Linked DNA regions of Saccharomyces cerevisiae S288C. Each later gene encodes a partner of the first gene's protein in a complex. Each region holds a gene or a part of one and is shown in the gene's direction. Other genes may lie near its edges.

The links. The genes of interacting proteins can lie anywhere in the genome.
Region 2: RSC2 (region 1) and HTL1 share a complex: the UniProt entries of both Saccharomyces cerevisiae proteins name them as parts of the two forms of the RSC complex.

Annotation. Positions count from the first base shown.
Region 1 is NC_001144.5:838,831-844,500, forward strand, and holds RSC2 (Rsc2p), read left to right. Parts: upstream 1-2,500; coding exon 2,501-5,170; downstream 5,171-5,670. Other genes in the region: ILV5 (ketol-acid reductoisomerase), read right to left, coding at 1-423; ATG33 (Atg33p), read left to right, coding at 1,491-2,084; YLR358C (uncharacterized protein), read right to left, coding at 4,657-5,220; adenylosuccinase ADE13, read left to right, coding at 5,452-5,670. UniProt on the Saccharomyces cerevisiae protein: Component of the chromatin structure remodeling complex (RSC), which is involved in transcription regulation and nucleosome positioning. RSC is responsible for the transfer of a histone octamer from a nucleosome core particle to naked DNA.
Region 2 is NC_001135.5:153,514-156,495, forward strand, and holds HTL1 (Htl1p), read left to right. Parts: upstream 1-1,806; coding exon 1,807-2,043; downstream 2,044-2,982. Other genes in the region: MAK32 (Mak32p), read left to right, coding at 1-415; PET18 (Pet18p), read right to left, coding at 499-1,146; MAK31 (Mak31p), read right to left, coding at 1,317-1,583; HSP30 (Hsp30p), read right to left, coding at 2,596-2,982. UniProt on the Saccharomyces cerevisiae protein: Required for cell cycle progression through G2/M transition at temperatures higher than 33 degrees Celsius. Component of the chromatin structure-remodeling complex (RSC), which is involved in transcription regulation and nucleosome positioning.

The DNA of each region.
Region 1 (5,670 bases):
AACGTAACTACCTCTCTTGATAGCATCTTCAACAGTGAACAAGTTCTTGCCTGGAACCCAACCGTCTTCGATGGCAGCCTTCCAAGAAGCACCATCTTTACGGACACCAATGATAACGTTCAAACCGTTGTCTCTCAAGTTCAAACCTTGACCGTAACCTTGGGAACCGTAACCGATCAAAGCAAAAGTGTCGTTCTTGAAGTAGTCCAACAACTTTTCTCTTGGCCAGTCAGCTCTTTCGTAGACGGTTTCAACAGTACCACCGAAGTTGATTTGCTTCAAACCACGGGTAGTGATCATTGGCTTAACGAAACGGGCAGCTGGTCTGCTGTAAGCAGCAGCACGGGTGGCCAAAGCAAAGGTTCTCTTAGCAGTGATGACACGGGAGTTGCAGATCAATCTGGCGGCTTGAGTTCTCAACATGTTTTATTTTTTACTTATATTGCTGGTAGGGTAAAAAAATATAACTCCTAGGAATAGGTTGTCTATATGTTTTTGTCTTGCTTCTATAATTGTAACAAACAAGGAAAGGGAAAATACTGGGTGTAAAAGCCATTGAGTCAAGTTAGGTCATCCCTTTTATACAAAATTTTTCAATTTTTTTTCCAAGATTCTTGTACGATTAATTATTTTTTTTTTGCGTCCTACAGCGTGATGAAAATTTCGCCTGCTGCAAGATGAGCGGGAACGGGCGAAATGTGCACGCGCACAACTTACGAAACGCGGATGAGTCACTGACAGCCACCGCAGAGGTTCTGACTCCTACTGAGCTCTATTGGAGGTGGCAGAACCGGTACCGGAGGAGACCGCTATAACCGGTTTGAATTTATTGTCACAGTGTCACATCAGCGGCAACTCAGAAGTTTGACAGCAAGCAAGTTCATCATTCGAACTAGCCTTATTGTTTTAGTTCAGTGACAGCGAACTGCCGTACTCGATGCTTTATTTCTCACGGTAGAGCGGAAGAACAGATAGGGGCAGCGTGAGAAGAGTTAGAAAGTAAATTTTTATCACGTCTGAAGTATTCTTATTCATAGGAAATTTTGCAAGGTTTTTTAGCTCAATAACGGGCTAAGTTATATAAGGTGTTCACGCGATTTTCTTGTTATGTATACCTCTTCTCTGAGGAATGGTACTACTGTCCTGATGTAGGCTCCTTAAATTGGTGGGCAAGAATAACTTATCGATATTTTGTATATTGGTCTTGGAGTTCACCACGTAATGCCTGTTTAAGACCATCAGTTAACTCTAGTATTATTTGGTCTTGGCTACTGGCCGTTTGCTATTATTCAAGTCTTTTGTGCCTTCCCGTCGGGTAAGGGAGTTATTTAGGGATACAGAATCTAACGAAAACTAAATCTCAATGATTAACTCCATTTAATCCTTTTTTGAAAGGCAAAAGAGGTCCCTTGTTCACTTACAACGTTCTTAGCCAAATTCGCTTATCACTTACTACTTCACGATATACAGAAGTAAAAACATATAAAAAGATGTCTGTTTGTTTAGCCATCACAAAAGGTATCGCAGTTTCTTCTATAGGCCTCTACTCTGGTCTTTTGGCTTCCGCTTCATTGATTACATCTACTACTCCACTAGAGGTTTTAACAGGATCCCTTACTCCCACTTTAACCACTTTGAAAAATGCGGCCACCGCCTTGGGAGCGTTTGCGTCAACTTTCTTTTGTGTGAGCTTTTTCGGCGCTCCTCCCTCATTGAGACACCCCTACTTACTCTATGGTATGCTTGTAGCTCCATTATCTTCATTTGTTCTAGGATGTGCCTCCAACTATCAGTCTAGAAAGTACAGTAAAGTCTCTAAGGAATCTTCTTTATTTCCCGAAGACAGCAAACTCGCTGCTTCCGAACTGAGCGATTCTATTATTGATTTAGGTGAAGACAACCATGCTTCAGAAAATACACCTCGAGACGGGAAGCCTGCAGCAACCACAGTATCAAAGCCGGCAGAGGCATTGCACACCGGTCCCCCAATCCATACTAAAAATCTAATTGCAGCAACTGCTATTGCTATTGTTGGCTTTGTACAAGCCGTTATTGGCGTTTATGGGGAAGGACAATTTATCTAGTGTTTCTCGTTCACGTATTTATCTCTACAAGAATTTGTAGCTGCCTGAACTCGGCTCCTCTCTCTCTCCAAAAATAAAGTGTGTAGTAATTTGCAGTTTTTTTATATATTCCTACGAGTTTTCAAACGTTCAAAAGACAGTATGTTCAAAAATTGTGCATACACACACGTATGCACATATATACATAATAATACACTGTAATAAGCACATTTGTAGGTGCTCTTGCACTTGGTTTATTACTGTCACTGACTTTTCTCACCCGGCCGAGAGTCGTGCGAAAATTCGCATGTTAAAGTGAGAAAATAGAGAAAACAACACAGCTGAAAAAAGTATTGGTAACAGTTCAATACGTGATCAAATATACAGCACGTCGCGCAGAACCAGACGAAGCGGAGAATATTCTACATTGACAGTGCATGATGCCTGATGACAATTCAAACTCGTCCACTCAAAACTCAAGCGCATTATACAAGGACCTGAGGAAAGAATATGAATCTCTTTTCACTTTAAAGGAAGATTCTGGGTTAGAGATTTCACCAATATTCAATGTCCTTCCACCTAAAAAGGATTATCCTGACTACTACGCAGTGATCAAGAACCCTGTATCTTTCAATACTTTAAAAAAGCGTATTCCACATTATACAGATGCTCAACAGTTTATGAACGATGTTGTCCAGATTCCATGGAATGCCAAGACTTACAATACAAGAGATTCAGGAATTTATAAATACGCCTTAGTCCTTGAGAAATATTTAAAGGACACAATCTATCCAAATTTAAAAGAAAAATATCCTCAATTAGTGTATCCTGATTTGGGTCCTCTACCCGATGAACCAGGTTATGAAGAGTTTCAACAGAAATTAAGAGAAAAAGCTGAGGAAGTAGCGAGAGCTAATGCAGCCAGAGCCGAGTCGAGCTCTTCAATGAATTCAACAGAAGCAGCCAGAAGATTAAGAAAGACTCGTACTTCCGTCAAAAGAGAATCAGAACCAGGAACCGATACAAATAATGATGAGGACTATGAGGCGACGGATATGGATATCGATAACCCTAAGGATGCTGATTTTCCTGATTTGATAAGAAAGCCACTAATAAATATTAATCCATATACTCGGAAACCATTAAGAGACAACAGGTCCACTACTCCATCTCACTCAGGCACCCCTCAGCCGTTAGGCCCAAGGCATAGACAGGTATCCAGAACTCAGGTAAAGCGTGGGAGACCCCCAATCATCGACTTACCGTATATTCAAAGAATGAAAAATGTTATGAAAGTACTAAAAAAAGAGGTGCTAGATAGTGGAATTGGTCTAACTGATCTTTTTGAAAGATTGCCCGATAGACACAGAGATGCAAATTACTACATCATGATTGCTAATCCAATTAGTCTTCAAGACATAAATAAAAAGGTAAAGACTCGTCGTTATAAAACGTTCCAGGAGTTCCAGAATGATTTTAATCTTATGTTAACCAACTTTAGAATTTCGCACAGAGGTGATCCTGAAAGCATAAAAATTTCAAATATCTTAGAAAAGACCTTTACTAGTCTGGCAAGATTCGAACTATCCAAACCTGATAGAAGTTTCATTCCAGAAGGCGAGCTAAGATACCCTCTAGATGAAGTCATTGTAAATAATATATCATACCACGTGGGAGATTGGGCACTTCTTCGAAATCAAAATGATCCTCAAAAACCTATAGTGGGCCAAATATTCAGGCTATGGAAGACACCAGATGGGAAACAATGGTTAAACGCTTGTTGGTATTACAGACCCGAACAAACTGTGCATAGAGTGGATAGATTGTTTTACAAAAACGAAGTTATGAAAACAGGTCAGTACCGTGATCATTTAGTGTCAAACTTAGTTGGGAAATGCTATGTGATTCACTTTACTAGATATCAACGTGGTAATCCCGATATGAAATTGGAGGGTCCCTTGTTCGTTTGCGAATTCCGTTATAATGAATCCGATAAAATTTTTAACAAGATTAGAACCTGGAAGGCTTGCTTACCAGAGGAAATTCGTGATTTGGACGAAGCTACCATTCCGGTAAATGGTAGAAAGTTCTTCAAATATCCTTCCCCCATAAGACATCTACTACCAGCTAATGCAACGCCGCATGATCGCGTTCCTGAACCAACGATGGGATCCCCGGACGCGCCACCATTGGTCGGTGCCGTTTATATGAGACCTAAAATGCAGCGTGACGATTTGGGGGAATATGCAACCTCTGATGACTGTCCCAGGTATATTATCAGACCCAACGATTCTCCCGAAGAGGGACAAGTGGATATAGAAACAGGTACGATCACCACAAACACGCCAACAGCAAATGCTCTTCCTAAAACAGGATACTCAAGTAGTAAACTATCCAGTTTAAGATATAACAGGTCATCTATGTCTTTAGAAAACCAAAATGCTATTGGCCAGCAACAAATACCACTGTCAAGAGTTGGTTCCCCTGGCGCGGGAGGCCCGCTTACTGTACAAGGTTTAAAGCAACACCAATTGCAAAGGTTACAACAGCAGCAACATCAATACCAACAACAGAAAAGATCCCAAGCATCACGTTATAATATCCCAACAATAATCGATGATTTAACATCGCAGGCATCAAGAGGTAATTTGGGTAATATAATGATCGATGCAGCCTCCTCGTTTGTCTTACCTATCTCTATAACCAAAAACGTAGATGTTTTGCAGCGTACTGATCTGCACAGCCAAACCAAGAGATCTGGAAGAGAAGAGATGTTTCCATGGAAAAAAACAAAGGGTGAAATATTATGGTTCAGAGGACCTAGTGTGATAGTAAATGAACGAATAATAAATTCAGGTGACCCACACCTAAGCCTGCCACTGAATAGGTGGTTTACCACTAACAAGAAAAGAAAACTAGAATACGAAGAAGTTGAAGAAACCATGGAAGATGTGACTGGAAAGGACAAAGATGATGATGGCTTAGAACCGGATGTTGAAAATGAGAAAGAGTCCTTGCCAGGCCCATTTGTCCTTGGATTAAGACCCTCGGCTAAGTTCACGGCGCACAGACTCTCTATGCTGCGGCCTCCTTCGTCGTCTTCATGATCACCTTTATTGTAAAAGCAATGGCAGCATAATATCTTCCCATTGCGCATTACCCTCCGCGAGCAGAGTCAAACTTCAAACAAAGCAGGAAAATGAAATAAAACAGAAGTTATTATATAGAAGAAAGTCATCTATAGATATATTATCGTTGTATTAATAGTAGCCATATAAAACAATTATACTTCATCACCAACCTCTCAAAATTTCTTCCCCAAGGACCAAAGCTTTTCCAGTAAGTTGCTACAACTAAAGTGAAATAAACTATCCGAATTATATAAAAGATGCCTGACTATGACAATTACACTACGCCATTGTCTTCTAGATATGCCTCCAAGGAAATGTCAGCAACGTTTTCTTTGAGAAACAGATTTTCCACATGGAGAAAACTATGGTTAAATTTGGCTATTGCTGAGAAGGAATTGGGCTTAACTGTTGTTACAGATGAAGCAATTGAGCAAATGCGCAAACACGTCGAAATCACTGATGATGAAATCGCAAAA
Region 2 (2,982 bases), on another chromosome or scaffold:
AGCATTAGCGCATCGTTTCGATGATTTCATGGATGAAAACAATATGTGTATTCTACGATGCGGTGCCCTCGGAAGCATATCGGTAAGTGAGAAGTTTAAGAACGGACGAACCTATGACCATTTCCCCGCCTACCATTTCAAAACTCAGTCTAAAGTACTAGATCCTACTGGCGGGGGAAACTCGTTCCTTGGCGGCTTTGCAGTTTCTTATGCCCTAACGAAAAGCTTAGATATTGCTAGTATATGTGGGAACATCGCTGCAGGCGCAATAATTGAACAATTCGGAATACCGAGGTACGATCCAATTGCTAAAACCTGGAACGGAATCACATTCTTGGATAGACTGAAATTTTACCTTTCACAGTCCGGTCTTCAATATAATATAAACGATCTTTACAAAAGTCTAACACGATGATCATATCAGCTTGTTCATTGCTCTTATTTTTCTGCAAAAATATACATATATATATATAAGTAAGTGTTATATACTACTTGAGATTAGGCGTTGTAACAAGATTCAAAAAATTCGAACTCGAACTGTGAAACCTTCACAAATATGCTTTCCACTTCTTCGACGGGAAACTTGTCAACTTCAGCCTTTAGAAATTCACACCAAGTTTGAAAATGCTCACCATCATGTAAATCAATCCATTTTTGATATTTCCAATGCAACCCTGGGGCTCTAGGAGTATCACGAGCCCATCTCCAATAGAGTTCCTCAGCAACCCATAAGCTGGTTACTAAGGATGGCCATGTAATTGAGGCGTCCTTTCTCAGCTCATCTAAGAAATTAATATACGCATCAACGCCGGGGATCGCTTTATTGTCAAAATTATCTCTTTCTTCCTTGGTGAGGGATGGTGCCAATAATTCTAAGCAGTCATGAAAGTATGAGTTTTCATCATTAGAAAAAAATCCAATCTTTTTGGCTAAGGTTATTAAAGCGTGAGTAGTTGGTGCTAAAGAAGTCGTCTTACATATCAACCTTAAGCTAGTTTCAAAAAATTGCAGATCTTGTGATAAATAGATGTACAAACTACGGTCCTTCAATGTTCCGGCACATAGTTCCTTAGCGAATTTATGTTCTGTGGTTTTCCTAACAAGGGCGTCGTACTTTTGTATTAACTTATCAGTGGTACAGCTCATTGTTCTTCCTTGCAGATATTGTTGATATTGTTATTATTTGCGCTAAATTTTAGTTAATACAGAAAAAAATATCTAAGTTCAGTCCAGTTCATATTCGTTTATATATCTTTCGAAGCCAGACCTTTTTTGCCAAGCAATTGTTACTATGGAAACTATTAGAACCATATGCGCTAAACAATATTAGCCATCAATTCAACTTTATTCGCAGTAAGCTCCTGCAGAACAGGCTTATCAATCATTATGGTCTTAACGGAACGCCTAGGGACGCTGACTAGGCCCATCATTCTACTACTGGAGCCCATACGTTCCTCAACATGATCTAATAGCAAATTCATTTGGGCATCTACAGCAACCAAGCTTCCAACTAAAATACGATCTTCTGTAAGGGAAACTATTAAAGTATTTCCAATAAAATCTGACAGTTTCAAGATGTCCATGACGCTTTGGTGCCCCTTACTAAGTTTGTTGAAGACTATCTTCACCCTATCAATGATATCATCGCATTTAAAAAATAGTCAGAACTCATGCACTTCGCGAGATATTTTTTGAAAAAAAAAAAATTAATCCGCCACATAAGATGCACAAAATGAGCCTATAACATTGAATTTTATGATAGAACGAAAGGATTGTGTTATTTAGAACAGAGTATCAGTATATCGTATGTCACAGAACAACACAATCAGCTCAATGAATCCTGAAAGAGCTTACAACAATGTAACGCTGAAAAATTTAACAGCATTTCAGTTATTATCTCAAAGAGAAAACATATGCGAGTTATTGAACTTGGTAGAAAGTACGGAAAGACACAATAGTATTATCAATCCTGAAAGGCAAAGGATGAGTTTGGAAGAAATGAAAAAAATGCTCGATGCTTTGAAAAATGAAAGGAAAAAGTAGGAAAACGCAACATTCACAATTGTAAGCTACAAAATATTGAATGTGAATCCTGCTTCATTACAAATGAAGAATTTCAAAGCGTATCTAGTTCACCAAAAGTCACAATATCTTATTATTATTTGGAAGCTTTTATATGCATCTAATGGTCATAAATCCCATCTCACTTTATAAAACAAGTTACCGCGAATGTATCCAGTGATACAGAATAGAGTGTAACAAATGAGAATAAAAATACCATATTATCGTTTAATTTTGGTAGGGTACGCTAAAATAAAGTGGTGTTTGCGTCTCCATATAACTAAAAAGAATTGAAATGGCCTACTATCGATTAGACTATTCAGGCATGGAAGCAGTAAGAACATTTCTTGATTTTGGAAAAATGAGATTAGATTATTAATTATTGTGTTTGTGTATATAATTTATTTTGCATATTTCATAAAGAAATTAAAATTAGATTATTAAATATTAAGTTTCATTAGTGACATTAAAAGAAGAAAACTGATGTTTTGAAATGTGTTAAGCAAAGAATGATTAAGACAATCTCAAGCTGCTCTAAGCAGTATCTTCGACAGCTTGCTCTGCTTCAGGTTCGGGTTCGTGGATTGCAGTCTCTCCAGATGCTCTTGGGCTCTCTGGAACAGCTTCTTTTGTTTCAGGAGCCGCATCTTCCACATCGTCCGTAGCATGGTGATGAGAGAATCCTCCTGTCAAAGATAGCCTTGGCAATTTGCCATCACGGCTGACTGCAATTAGCAAGTAACATGGATAAATGGCAAATACACATAAATCCAAAACACCATAAAAGATAGCCTCACCGTCTGGTTGAATACGGTTACCACCATCACTTAGACCCCAACAGATAAAGTACAACCAAACGATTACCATGCAGGTACACAGCATAAGTGCATTGAACCCTCTAGTTTTCAAATTGAAGAATTG